Linked DNA regions of Drosophila melanogaster. The protein of the gene in region 1 interacts with the protein of each later gene in a pairwise test. Each region holds a gene or a part of one and is shown on either strand. Other genes may lie near its edges.

Region 1 (6,785 bases):
ATGAAGGAGAAGCAGGGACTGAAGCCAGCTGAAACTGCAGTCAAACCCAAGAAGCACAAAGGGCCCAAGAACCCCAATCCATTGTCCTGCAAGAAGAGCAAAAAGGACAAGGCGAAGCAACAGCTCAAAGGAGTTGAGCAGACCGCAATAACCAAGGCGAAACGAAAACGAGTCAAGATCCCAGCGCACGTCAAGGCAGCGCTAGGAAAAGATTAGATTAGAATGGTTGATCAAGTAGATAAATATAAGATAATGCAAGGTAATCTGCAGTCTTGACAAATCATTATAATGTGGGAGGAGCTGCTTTAACTAGCCACCTGAGTGTAATATGCCCTCTTCTATAATGGCAAAAAAATCTATGCATCTGAACCAGATGATAGATTACTAAATTACTGGTTAATGACTTAAGTTAACTAGAATATTTTAGAATTCATAAATCTTAATTGATTATTAGCTTACCACAATATTGCTCACCAATTGAATGGGAGGAACTGTAGAATCCCACTGTGCCTGTGAAGATTATCGCGATTGAAACGCACACTCAACTTAATCTTGTGCACATATTTATATATTTTAGTATATAGTTAAGAATTATACAACAGTATAAAAGATGACTGAGAGCCGTTTGGAGCAGGAATAGGGAAGGGGCGAGGCACACCGGGGTTGTTCTCACAGTTTGCCCTCGCGAATCTTGTTCAGCGTCTTCTCGGTCATCAATTGAGCCAGAATCTTGCTCAGCGTGGGATTCCGGGCGCAGTAGGCCAAGAGGTTGACGGGAAAGAGGCCGCACCAGGTGAGATCCATCTTATTGGCCAAGGCAACGGCGAACAGATCGCCACATCTCTGGGCCGTCATCCGTTTCTGATTGGCCGTACTCAGACCCACCTTTCCGCCCTGCGAGCCAGTGAAGGCCTCCTGCAGGAAATCGGTGGCTATGGGTCCCGGTGCGAAGAGCGACACATCCAGCTTGCGCATCTCCACTTTCAGGGAGAGCAAGTAGGCGTTAAGGGCGTGCTTGGCGGCACAGTAGGTGGGTGAAAATGGCACTGGACTGAAGCCGGCGATGCTGGAGGTGGCAGCGATGTGTCCTCTACCGCCGTTCTGCTCCACGAAATAGCGCACCACCAGGCGGCTGAGGTGGACCACCGCAAAGACATCCAGTTCGAACAGCTCCCGGTCCACCTCGATCTCGACTTCGGTCCAACTGGCTCGCTGGGATCGGCCAGCATTATTGACAAGGACATCCAGTCGATGAAAGTGATTGAGCACCGTGTTGAGATGCGTCTTATGCTCGTCGAGATCGAGCATGTCCATTTGAATGACCAGCACGTCCTTGGTGGCCAGCAGTCCGCGAGCTGCAGCTAGGCATTCCTCTTGCACTTGCTCCAATTGCTCCAGTCGCCGGGCACTTAGCACCAATTTCACTCCATGCCTGGCCAAGCTGAGCGCCAAAGCGCGGCCAATTCCGCTCGAGGCACCAGTTATCCAAACCACCTGTCCGCGCATCGACGACAGCGAGACTCCGAAACGGGACTTGTACCACAGGGCCACATTGCAGTCGAGCAGGATCCAGAGGAGCACGTACACGACATAGTACAGCACGAGCAGGAGCAGCAGAAACTCCAGGAAGCTCATCTCGTTGGCTCTGTATGGCACGGCTGGGTCGGAGAAACCTTTGTCCTCTGCCGCAACGGAAGGCACTGAAACCTGTTCTTGGCCACACAGAAATCACTGCGAGCGGGTCTGATCGATCAGCTGTTGGTGGGCACCAGAGGTGACGCAGTGACTGCGGAAAGTAGTCACCTTATCTGACATAAAACCCTTATACTTGGTTTTTGAATGATGCTATATTATTTAAATACCTTTTGGTAGCTAGGTAAGGGTAGTACTATCTTTCTTGAGAGAACATGTAGAGCATAATCCAAGATACGAAAAACGCTTCCATCTGCTCATCTCTGATAGTTTTTTTACGTAAACGAATCAGGGCTTCCAACACACTGCCTTTGCGCCAACATTCACATCAAAATTCAACCCCATCAGTTTGGCTAACCATTTCTTTTTATATAAAAGTAAGTAAACTAAGAACTAATCCTAGGCCTGCAGGAAGTCTCCGAGATTGCCACATATTTTGTCGATTTCCGCACATCCCGATTGCTCCAGCGCTGAAATGGCATTGGCGAGGGCCACGGTTTCTTTCAGGGAATGGGCCTTCAACCATATCCTGCCGTTGACTCCCACAGCGATCTCGTAGGGCAGTTCCCGGGTAAGAGCGGCGAGAACAGGGCAGTTTTCCCGCAGCAGCATCCTTCCCAGATTCAGGCTGCACTTGAAGAAGAATCCATCGGTGAGGACGCCCAGTTTGCCACTTTTGCCCACCGAGTTGACGCAGACCAGCTCCGGTTCAATGTCCGCGCTTGCATTCAGGACTCTCGCGTAAATCAGATCACCGGGGATCAGATCCGGGCGATTCTTCTTGCTGGCCGCCTCAAAGGCGAGATACGATATGGAGGCTGTGTCCGTTGCTCCGATGTCCACGCGGTACAGATCGCCCGCCTTGGCTCGCACAATGCCCAGAATGAGATCCCCGCGTGCCGGGATGTACCTTCTCTGGTAGTTGTCCACCCAGAAGGTGCCGGGTTCCTTGTGTCGAAGTGGGCCCGCCTTGCTAGCCACCACCGTGTCATCCAGACGCCGCAGTCCCGGTCCGAGTATCACCCGCTTGCTCTTGGCCAGCTCCTCAATGGCCGCAATTCGCTCACCGGGCATAACTATTGTGCTGGTCGCGCTCATTTTAATGTTGCTTTTACGATTTGAAAACTCCAAACAAAAAATCCGCGTGTGTCTTTCAAAACATATGGTCAAGTCGAGGACTTTCCAACACTGCCATTGTCAGCCCTGGTCTTAAAGTTAAATTTAACAGTAGTTGTAAAGAACATAAATATTCAAATTATTTTTGCCCCTTCTTATTTTATTATTTTCAAAATGCTTACGATTTTAATTATTAAGATGAACTTAAAAAAGTAACAGAAAAATTATATTTAGTCAAATTGTAATTGTTCTATATTACTGAATGATCTTAAAAATGCAAAGAAAGTTTTAAAGAGCTAACAGCGTGTGGGCGGCAATGTTAACCAACACATATGCAATTTTTTCCCGATCAGCTGTGCTGCTATAAGCATAATCGTACGATTTGTTAAAATCCGCTTTGCATTTATTTGTTCTAATTTATGGCAGCTAAAAAGCGTGACTAACCACAAGTATGTGACTTTGAATGACCCGATTGTCCAGAAACCACGGGAACATTTCATTATCATTGGTTGTTACACTTCTCTTGACGCCATTTGATTGTTTATGCTTTATTAACGAGAGCATTTATTATTATGTAGATAGACATGCAATCCACAGCTACGTGTGGATCCCGATTACTCTAACCTTGTGCGAAGGTCAATTTTCCCCAAAAAATATAGGAAACGTACCAGGGAAAACAACAAAAAAGGGAAAGCGCACCCCCACACTGAAAACCGGCGAGCACCTGGAAACGCATACATATAAAAGGAGAGTAAATGTAAGTGTCCCTCTCTTTTCCACACTTAGAGATGGGCAAAAATACATCGCCTAAGCTGAGCTTTTAAAATTTATGAATATTAAATTTATCATATAGCTTGCAACAGAGCTATAGTTTCATGTAAGGTAACTAAAATATATATTTTAAATGATATTTTTTACTCCTTTATCAAGATACAAATTGGTAGCACTTTCGCCGCCGTCTTTTACACATTCAAGCCATGTCTTGGACCGCTTCAGTTTTCTTGAGGACTTCCACCACTAGCATGAAGTTTCTGCGTCTGCGCTGGCCTCTCCCCAGAATTCCCCAGAATAAATCGGCAAACGTTGCGCCGCGTTTCAGAAGCAAATCAGCAGTCAGCCAGCTCTCATCTGGATTTAAATTTGTGCAGATCCGCAAAAGTACTTGGTATGTATATTGCTAGACTCTTGGTGTGTGCTTGTGCATCCAGCTTAGGGAAAATATTTAATTGTTTTATCTGCGAACTTCACAAAGATCACCCCAATCGAAAGGGCTTGAAAATCGAGCGTTTTTTGCGAGCGATATCCGCGCGATTATCTAACAAATGGTGCTGTGCAAATTTTCAAGTGTCTCGTTTACGTATATTTCCAATCGATTTAATTGCACAAATCTAATAATTTCAATTGACAGGCATTTGTTGTATCGCTGTAGGGAGATACTTCCGTTTTTCGCAACTTTTCCACGTACTGCGGCTTCGCTGGACGCCTCACTTTGGGTCTGACCTTTAAAAGTAGCTTAGAGGTCATTCGGTTGTTCGGCGAGAGCAAACTGAAAACTCTCCCACTGAGATAAGCGGAAAAGCGGGAAATGCCGCCAGTGTCAGTGACTCTAAATTATTATAGAAATATTTAACTGAAATTTGAAGACAAATTAAATATAGAAAACTCAGGAGGGGCATTTCGAGATTATACCGTGGAGAAAGTCACACCCGAATGGGGATATATGTATAAGTTTACACCACTCACAGCTCAAATTGCAAGTGACTTACATGCTCACAGCTACAATTCTTTGCAAAAAAAAATAATTTTTTATTAATATCTAACCATATTTTGAGAACCAAGTCCAAAAGTATGTCAAAGGTGTATCTCCCATTTCCTTTCTAGTTCGTATTTCTTTTTCGACATATTTCCGAATATTTCACTGCATCACGAAACATATCATTTAACTGTCCATTTGGAACAATTTTAAATATAAATAAGCCCAACTATTTAAGTAATGGCGGGGATTTCGCAAATATTGTGGAGCACATCCGCCATAAAATCTGAATGGCTTCATCTGCGGTCAGCTATTTAATAGAACACCATGCCTAGATTTAAAGTCCTGATAACAGACACTAATTCGCCCTCGTGGACTTTGTTTTTTGTTTTTTGATTTCAGTGACAGCAACGAGATGACCATCAAAGCGATCAAGGCCCGTCAAATCTACGACTCCCGTGGCAACCCCACCGTGGAGGTCGACCTGACCACCGAGCTGGGACTCTTCCGAGCCGCCGTGCCCTCCGGCGCCTCCACTGGCGTCCACGAGGCCCTGGAGCTGCGCGACAACGACAAGGCCAACTACCATGGCAAGTCGGTGCTGAAGGCCGTGGGCCATGTGAACGACACCCTGGGACCCGAGCTGATCAAGGCCAATCTGGATGTGGTTGACCAGGCGTCCATTGACAACTTCATGATCAAGTTGGACGGCACCGAGAACAAGAGCAAGTTCGGAGCCAACGCCATCCTGGGCGTTTCCCTGGCCGTGGCCAAGGCTGGAGCCGCCAAGAAGGGCGTGCCGCTGTACAAACACATTGCCGATCTGGCTGGCAACAAGGAGATCATCCTGCCGGTGCCCGCTTTCAACGTGATCAACGGCGGCAGCCACGCCGGCAACAAGCTGGCCATGCAGGAGTTCATGATCCTGCCCACCGGCGCCACCAGCTTCACAGAGGCCATGAAGATGGGCTCCGAGGTGTACCACCACCTGAAGAATGTGATCAAGGCCAAGTTCGGTCTGGACGCCACCGCTGTGGGCGATGAGGGCGGCTTCGCCCCCAACATCCAGTCCAACAAGGAGGCTCTGAACCTGATCAGCGATGCCATCGCCAAGGCCGGATACACCGGCAAGATCGAGATCGGCATGGACGTGGCCGCCTCCGAGTTCTACAAGGATGGCCAGTACGATCTGGACTTCAAGAACGAGAAGAGCGACAAGTCGCAGTGGCTGCCCGCCGACAAGCTGGCCAACCTGTACCAGGAGTTTATTAAGGACTTCCCCATCGTCTCGATTGAGGATCCCTTTGACCAGGACCACTGGGAGGCCTGGTCCAACCTGACCGGCTGCACCGACATCCAGATCGTGGGCGATGATCTGACCGTGACCAACCCCAAGCGTATTGCCACCGCCGTGGAGAAGAAGGCCTGCAACTGCCTGCTCCTGAAGGTCAACCAGATCGGCACCGTCACCGAGTCCATTGCCGCCCATCTGCTGGCCAAGAAGAACGGCTGGGGCACCATGGTCTCCCACCGTTCCGGTGAGACCGAGGACTCGTTCATCGGTGACCTGGTCGTCGGTCTGTCCACCGGCCAGATCAAGACCGGAGCTCCATGCCGCTCGGAGCGTCTGGCCAAGTACAACCAGATCCTGCGCATCGAGGAGGAGATCGGCGCTGGCGTCAAGTTCGCCGGCAAGTCGTTCAGGAAGCCGCAGTAAGCGCAGGGCACTTCGAAATTCCAACCACACCAGCCCCATCGAATGAGATCTGGATCTTGGAGAGGGAGCTGGACGCAGTAGATCCATGGAAAGGCGGCGGTGCACGTGTTCGTCAACCTTTTACGTTCGGAACTTGTGTCTGGCGCACAAATACATCAGAATTAAACTACCAAACCCATTTGCTGTCTCTATGCTTCGTTCTTAGACATTATTAATTAATGCTAAACCTTGATCTAATCATTATTTATAAACAAAAGAATAAAAAACACTATGTGCAAGATATTCGTTCAGTTGCCGAGAGCTTTGAATATCTTCAATGTAATCGCTGTAATCGTTATGAAATTATAAATTGATCTACACAAACACCAAATCCACAAACAGACAAGTTATTCACTTCAAAAACGGTTATGAAACAATTGTTGAGACATAGAATTTAAGCGAAAGCTGTTGGAATATTCTTATCGAATATACACGGTGTTCAATAGAGATCTTAATCAGATGGAATAG
Region 2 (6,919 bases), on another chromosome or scaffold:
CATAAGGCCTTTCAGCCAGTAGCAGTCCACTTACAAGGATGCGAGTGCCAGGGAACCGCCCGAGCTCCAAGTGGCTCCCTCCGGACTTGCCGTCTTTGAGCCGAAAACTTCATGAATTTAATTACCGAATTTTTTGCGCTGTAATTACGAAATTCTTTTGGCCGAAAGTGGAATTTTCATTTCATTTTCATTAAAATATTTCTGCTTGTAAGTGTTTACAAAATATGTGTGCTCGGCTGCTCCCACTCCCAATTTTTCCGCCCCTTTTGCCCAACCAAGTTGAGGATCGAAAATGGGCGAGACTGCAAAGGATTATAGGCATTTTCTTTGAAACTAGTTACATTTAGAATGTTATATTACTTGTATTATAATATTATTTATATCGCAAAGTAATTTAAAGCGATGAAATTATCTTGTGAACACTTCGACCGACGAATTTGGCTATATTTATGGCCCACACTCGTTGGCAATGCAATTACTCAGTTATTGACCCACAAAAGCCGCAAATTGTAGGCACAGACATGGAATCGGAATCAGGAGCAGACGAAGGCGTGGCATTTGTTGGCCATGCAATTGCATTGTCTTCACCTGTGCATTATTAACCCGACCACGATAAGCTCATAATGAGGCCGAGCTAATTTCTTACGGCTGAGCCGACTTTGGCCAACCTGTCCTCAAATGTGCGGCTGGACAAACCCGCTTGAGTGTTTAACTACGGAAGGAAGCCAAGTGCATTCCCTAACTGGCATGAAGAGTCTTTAAGCCAAAAGTAATTATGCCTTGTTTTCTGAGAATCGCAAAATGTTTACCATAGCAAAAGAGATAGTTTTCAATGAATGAGATGCAGTTTGAGCCCAAAAACTACTTAAATTCCATTAAAGGTAGAATATTTTCATTTTTACCCGCTCAATTAACTCCATATTTATTAGTTTTAATAAATAAAAAGCGAAATTCATCAATTAAAATTTAGCGGAACAATTTAAAACTGTCACGTTTTTTAAAAACAACAAGCGGCTAGTTTTTAAACTACAAGGTCTTGCTACTGTCCACTAGATGGCGAATAAAAATCATCCTCCCAGCTGTTTCAGGTAAACAACGCTTTCCAGCCCTGAAAAATACCACTTGTAATACCATTAATAAAATACCACTTCTTTGAACAGAAACATAAAAATTACATAAATAAATAACTGCCATGAAAATAAGCTACCGGGCATTTGTTCGCCAAGTGCGGCATGCCTCCACGACTGCCTCGAAAGGAGCTACGACATCCGTTACCTCCAGCGCAGCGGGTCAACTAAAATCAGAGCCGGCAGCACGTGCAACTTTTCTGGAGAGGATTCAACGCGGACCGGGCTTCCAAGACTTTTTTGCGGTCAAGCCTGCGTCAAGACTGAAAACTGATGAAGAGGAGCATGTGGACACCAGTGTGCCGTACCTGAACTCGATTGATTTCAATGGAAACGGAAGGAAGGTCCACTTTGAGGTCTACGGATGCCAGATGAACACGAATGACACGGAGGTGGTGTTCAGTATCCTGAAGGAGAATGGTTATTTGAGATGCCAGGAGCCGGAGGAGGCCGATGTCATAATGCTCGTAACGTGCGCAGTGCGCGATGGAGCGGAGCAGAGGATCAGGAACCGATTGAAGCACCTGCGAGCCATGAAGAACAAACGCAGTACGCGGAGGCATCCTCTACAGCTGACACTGCTGGGTTGCATGGCGGAGCGACTAAAGGAGAAGCTGCTGGAACAGGAGCAATGTGTGGATGTAATCGCCGGACCCGATAGCTACAAGGATTTGCCGCGACTACTGGCTATCTCCCGGCATTATGGCAACTCGGCCATCAATGTGCTCCTCTCGCTGGACGAAACCTATGCGGATGTGATGCCCGTTCGCTTAAACTCCGAATCGCCCACTGCTTTTGTGTCCATCATGCGCGGTTGTGACAACATGTGTACCTATTGTATAGTGCCCTTCACCCGTGGACGCGAGCGCTCTCGCCCCCTGGCATCCATTGTGGCTGAGGTCAAGGCATTGGCGGAACAGGGCGTGAAGGAGGTCACCCTGCTGGGTCAGAATGTCAACTCGTACAGAGACAGAACTGCGCAGGAGGAACAGGACTCACTGAAAGCAACTCCAGTGCCCGGTTTTAGCACTGTTTACAAGCCCAAAACAGGCGGGACTCCCTTTGCAGCATTGCTCCGATCCGTGGCTCAAGCTGTTCCAGACATGCGCATCCGTTTCACCTCGCCGCATCCGAAGGATTTCTCCGACGAAGTTCTGGAGGTCATCAGAGATCACCCGAATGTGTGCAAGCAACTTCACCTGCCAGCACAATCGGGCAATACCCAAGTTCTGGAAAGGATGCGACGTGGTTACAGCAGAGAGGCTTATCTGGAACTTGTGCAGCACATCAGACAGTTTTTGCCCAACGTGGGGCTGTCCAGCGATTTTATCTGCGGCTTTTGCGGTGAAACGGAAGAGGAGTTCCAAGACACTGTATCTCTTATCCAACAAGTGCAGTACAACGTGGCCTACTTGTTCGCCTACAGCATGCGAGAAAAGACCACTGCCCATCGGCGCTACAAAGATGATGTGCCCATAAACGTGAAGAATGAGCGACTGCAGCGCATGGTCCAGGTTTTCCGAGAGGGAGCTACACAGCTACATCGTAAAATGGAAGGCCAGGAGCAGCTCATACTTATAGAAGGGAAAAGCAAGAGGTCCGATGCTCACTGGTTCGGTCGGAATGATGCCAATATCAAGGTCATAGTTCCTTCTATATATGTACCCATATCTGGAGATTCCACAGCCAGAAAATCGTTTGGAGTAGGTGACTTTTTGGCCGTCCGCATTGAGGAATCCAACTCACAGGTGCTGAAGGGCACGCCCCTCGAGCTGAGCAACATAACCGACTTTCACAGCAGACAGTTAATACAATAAAATGAGCTTTAATCGTAGTTTCAGTTGTTTTAACATCACGTCTCATTGACGTCCTCCTTCTTAGCCGTCGCCTCACTCCTGCCATGATACTTTGCAACCTGGTTGCGATAGAACTGAAAGATCTCGGCACTGGCAGCCAGGCATAGGCACTCAATATCATTGAACTGGGCTATTTTGAAAGAGCCCTTTGTCTGGATCAACAAAAGGTTTCCTTCTACAGAATCAAAGGCGAATGTAAAACTGGCGCGCTGGTGGAGGGTTTCACTTTGGTCCGGATCTAGCACATACTCGCCCTGCTCGTTGATGATGGCGTGGACAGCCGCAAAGCTATACTTTAAAGGCAGGCCTCCGATGAGCATGGCTAGGCAGGCGCAATTTACGGCGCAGGCATCAATCTGATAGAATATATATATTGTTAGAAGGATTACAGATGAAGGAGATTCAAAAACATACACTGCCACGATCTTCCAGCTCCTGGATCTGCACGGACATCTTGGAGCGCGGATGAGCCTCCGACAGGAGGGCCAGTTCCAGCACATCCCGAATGGCCGCCTCCCGAATCCGATCGGTAACCTGCGGCAGGCCCGCTTTTGGTCGGTAGTTACACTCCAAGTAGCTGCCATCTATGCTCAGGTTTTGGGTCTTCACCTCGATGGGGCCGAGAACTGCGCCTATGAGACCTGTAGCACCTGAAATTGGCAAGACCATGTTAGCCGGTTCTGGCCATGTACTAGAGTTGAAAACACGGCTATACCCTGGCTGTACATCACGGATCCGTCGCAACGCGACAAGGGATTGAATTCGCAGTGCATCTGGCGAAGCTTATCCTTTTCCACGTCCATTTTCGCTGGTAAATTCATATTATATTTTCCTAATATTCAAAGAAAACAACGTGCGCGTGCTATCGCCTCGTATTTTCGATAACGATTTCAATTTTCCCTCGACATATCGGTGCAATATGATGTTGCGATTGCACGAGCTCTGTCGATTACTGATAGGTTTGGCGGGTGGAGTTTTCATTTTAAAAATGAACCATATGTTATACAACTTTCAATTATTTTCGTCGATTTAGTTTACTGATAATTGCACAAATTTCAGGCTTTTCAAAAGATGGTGTATTACATAAATATCCGAATAGTTATTACTGCATTTAATACATATGATAATAACATACCAAGCGCAGAACACTATAATCTCATTTTAGAAAAAGAGAAGTGAACATAAAGCTATCGTTTTATAAAATATAATGCACCATATATAATGTATAAAATGCACTGTCGATCCGACTGGCGATATACGCAACTATCGCTGGCTATCGATAGACAGCGAAGGCTGGCCAGCTCCTATCCGAACTGCTTCTCCAATCAGTTTCTTGCTTTGCTCGTCCGGAATAAGTTCAGTAAAGAGTTCCAATAAGATGTCAGGTGGGTTGCCAGTCCGGAGCTTTGCAGTTCCCTCGACTACCATATACCCTGTCCCCCGAATCCTGTGGCTTATATAACACATTCGTATCGTCGCAGGCGCCAATCCCTTCGCCCAGTTCGAGAAAACTTTCTCCCAGGCCGGCACAACATACAAGTACTTTGACCTCGCCTCCATCGATAGTAAATATGGTAAGTGGATGTGGTCTTAAGAAGGCTTTAAAAGTGGGCGTGTCTGTCTACGTGGTCGCAATAAACTAGGCTAAACATGCATATCAAAAATGGGATTAATTAAGCACCTGTTGAAGTTGGAGTTTGACCCCTGAATTGAAAAAGAAGCGTAGAAGAACAGCTCAATTTGCAAGTCAGGCAATGTCAAGTAGAAGGTGCTCCCGGAGCATTAAGTGGATTTTCTATAGTTTTCTATGGGCGGGCTTGTCTTGCGCCGAAAGCGAAAGTTATCACCGCCAGATTGCCTCATAATGGGGCTCGTCTAGCGGTGATAACGAATCGTGTGCCTCCGAAATTTGATTTCCATTTCCCAATTTTACGTGCTCACTTATCAGCGAATTAAAACTTCGCAGATCTGCTGATTTGGGGTCGTAGTCCGATGACTCCGAAAAATCTCAAGATCAGTGGAATGTTTTTACTGGAACCGCGCGTGTCCAGAAATCGGGGTTCTGAGGTGAGGGCTTCTTTGGTGGCTCCTCCCATATAGTGACGCCTGTGAATCGCATTAAGTGCTGGACAAACGTAATCATTGTGCCTGTGATAAGAAGTGACTGCTATCTGACTAGCACACTTTAAACTAACTAAGGTGGACGGTTATAGAAAAAGGGAGGTTCTTTACTCTACTCGTGAATTTTAATTCAACAAGTGCAACTTAAAGGTTTTTTAAAGATACATACGTTTAGTGCGGCAAATTGTCTTAGGTCCTCTCACCAAGAGGCTTTACTGTACCTGTGATGAAATTCTAAACACTTTGATTAACACTTAACATTTCCAACGCGTAGATCAACTGCCCTACTCGATCCGAGTGCTCTTGGAGTCGGCGGTTCGCAACTGCGACAACTTCCATATCCTAGAGAAGGACGTGCAGAGCATCCTGGGATGGTCGCCCGCCCTCAAGCAGGGATCCAACGATGTGGAGGTGTCCTTCAAGCCGGCCCGTGTCATCCTGCAGGTGAGTTTCATACGGCAATCTAGCAAAGTAATATTTAAATTATATAATATCTTGCTACTAGGACTTTACTGGAGTTCCTGCTGTGGTGGACTTTGCAGCTATGCGCGATGCTGTTTTGGATCTGGGCGGCGACCCGGAGAAAATCAATCCCATCTGCCCCGCCGACTTGGTCATCGATCACTCGGTCCAGGTGGACTTCGCCCGTGCGCCTGATGCTTTGGCCAAGAACCAGTCACTGGAATTTGAGCGCAACAAGGAGCGCTTCACCTTCCTGAAGGTTACTTTTCCTTAGCTTATTATCCAGATAGTATTTTTAATAATATTGTTTTTCCTAATTAGTGGGGAGCCAAGGCCTTCAACAACATGCTGATCGTGCCACCTGGCTCCGGTATTGTCCACCAGGTGAATCTGGAGTACTTGGCCCGCGTGGTGTTCGAGAATGACGCAACCGATGGCTCCAAGATTCTGTATCCCGACAGTGTGGTGGGCACTGATTCCCATACCACGATGATAAATGGATTGGGCGTACTTGGTTGGGGAGTGGGAGGCATCGAAGCGGAAGCTGTGATGTTGGGCCAATCGATTTCCATGTTGTTGCCCGAGGTAATTGGCTACAAGTTGGAGGGCAAACTGAGCCCACTGGTCACATCCACCGATCTGGTGCTGACCATTACCAAGCACCTGCGCCAGTTGGGTGTGGTGGGAAAGTTTGTGGAGTTTTACGGCCCGGGAGTTGCGGAACTCAGCATTGCTGACAGGGCCACCATCAGCAATATGTGTCCCGAATACGGAGCCACCGTGGGATACTTCCCCATCGATGAGAATACTCTTGGTTACATGAAGCAGACAAGTACGGAAAACCAGACTGTTTCATAAAACAATATTTTACCTATATCATAACAAACTTTTTAGATCGGTCTGAAAAGAAGATCGACATCATTCGCCAGTATCTGAAGGCAACTCAGCAGCTGCGCAACTATGCTGATGCGGCCCAAGATCCCAAGTTTACTCAGGTTGAAATTGCCTTACATATACCACTAAAAACTTAAGCTAACATACATCCCTTCTACAGAGTATCACCTTGGATCTGTCGACGGTGGTCACCTCCGTTTCGGGACCCAAGCGTCCTCACGATCGCGTTTCTGTCTCCGACATGCCTGAGGATTTTAAGTCGTGCCTGTCCAGCCCAGTAAGTTTCAAATTCATTGAGAAAAAGGGAATTAAATTAAACATTGTTTTGCTCCACCATTACCTTAGGTGGGTTTCAAGGGATTCGCCATTGCTCCGGAAGCTCAATCCGCTTTTGGGGAGTTCCAGTGGGATGATGGCAAGACCTACAAACTGCATCATGGATCTGTTGTCATTGCGGCC

Evidence for each region.
Region 2: the proteins of Rrp40 (region 1) and Rrp46 interact in a two-hybrid assay, tested with the Drosophila melanogaster proteins (one large-scale study listed by BioGRID).

Annotation. Positions count from the first base shown.
Region 1 is NT_033779.5:1,724,834-1,731,618, reverse strand, and holds Rrp40 (ribosomal RNA processing 40), read right to left. Parts: upstream 2,888-6,785; 5' UTR 2,791-2,887; coding exon 2,092-2,790; 3' UTR 1,857-2,091; downstream 1-1,856. Other genes in the region: CG17652 (uncharacterized protein), read left to right, coding at 1-216; CG31937 (uncharacterized protein), read right to left, coding at 670-1,635; Eno (enolase), read left to right, coding at 3,786-3,973, 4,964-6,278. UniProt on the Drosophila melanogaster protein: Non-catalytic component of the RNA exosome complex which has 3'->5' exoribonuclease activity and participates in a multitude of cellular RNA processing and degradation events.
Region 2 is NT_033777.3:10,410,258-10,417,176, reverse strand, and holds Rrp46 (Rrp46), read right to left. Parts: upstream 3,877-6,919; 5' UTR 3,805-3,876; coding exon 3,699-3,804; intron 3,634-3,698; coding exon 3,398-3,633; intron 3,340-3,397; coding exon 2,980-3,339; 3' UTR 2,945-2,979; downstream 1-2,944. Other genes in the region: CG6345 (uncharacterized protein), read left to right, coding at 1,193-2,944; Irp-1B (iron regulatory protein 1B), read left to right, coding at 4,362-4,368, 4,465-4,557, 5,379-5,548, 5,610-5,825, 5,888-6,398, 6,461-6,561, 6,621-6,737, 6,806-6,919.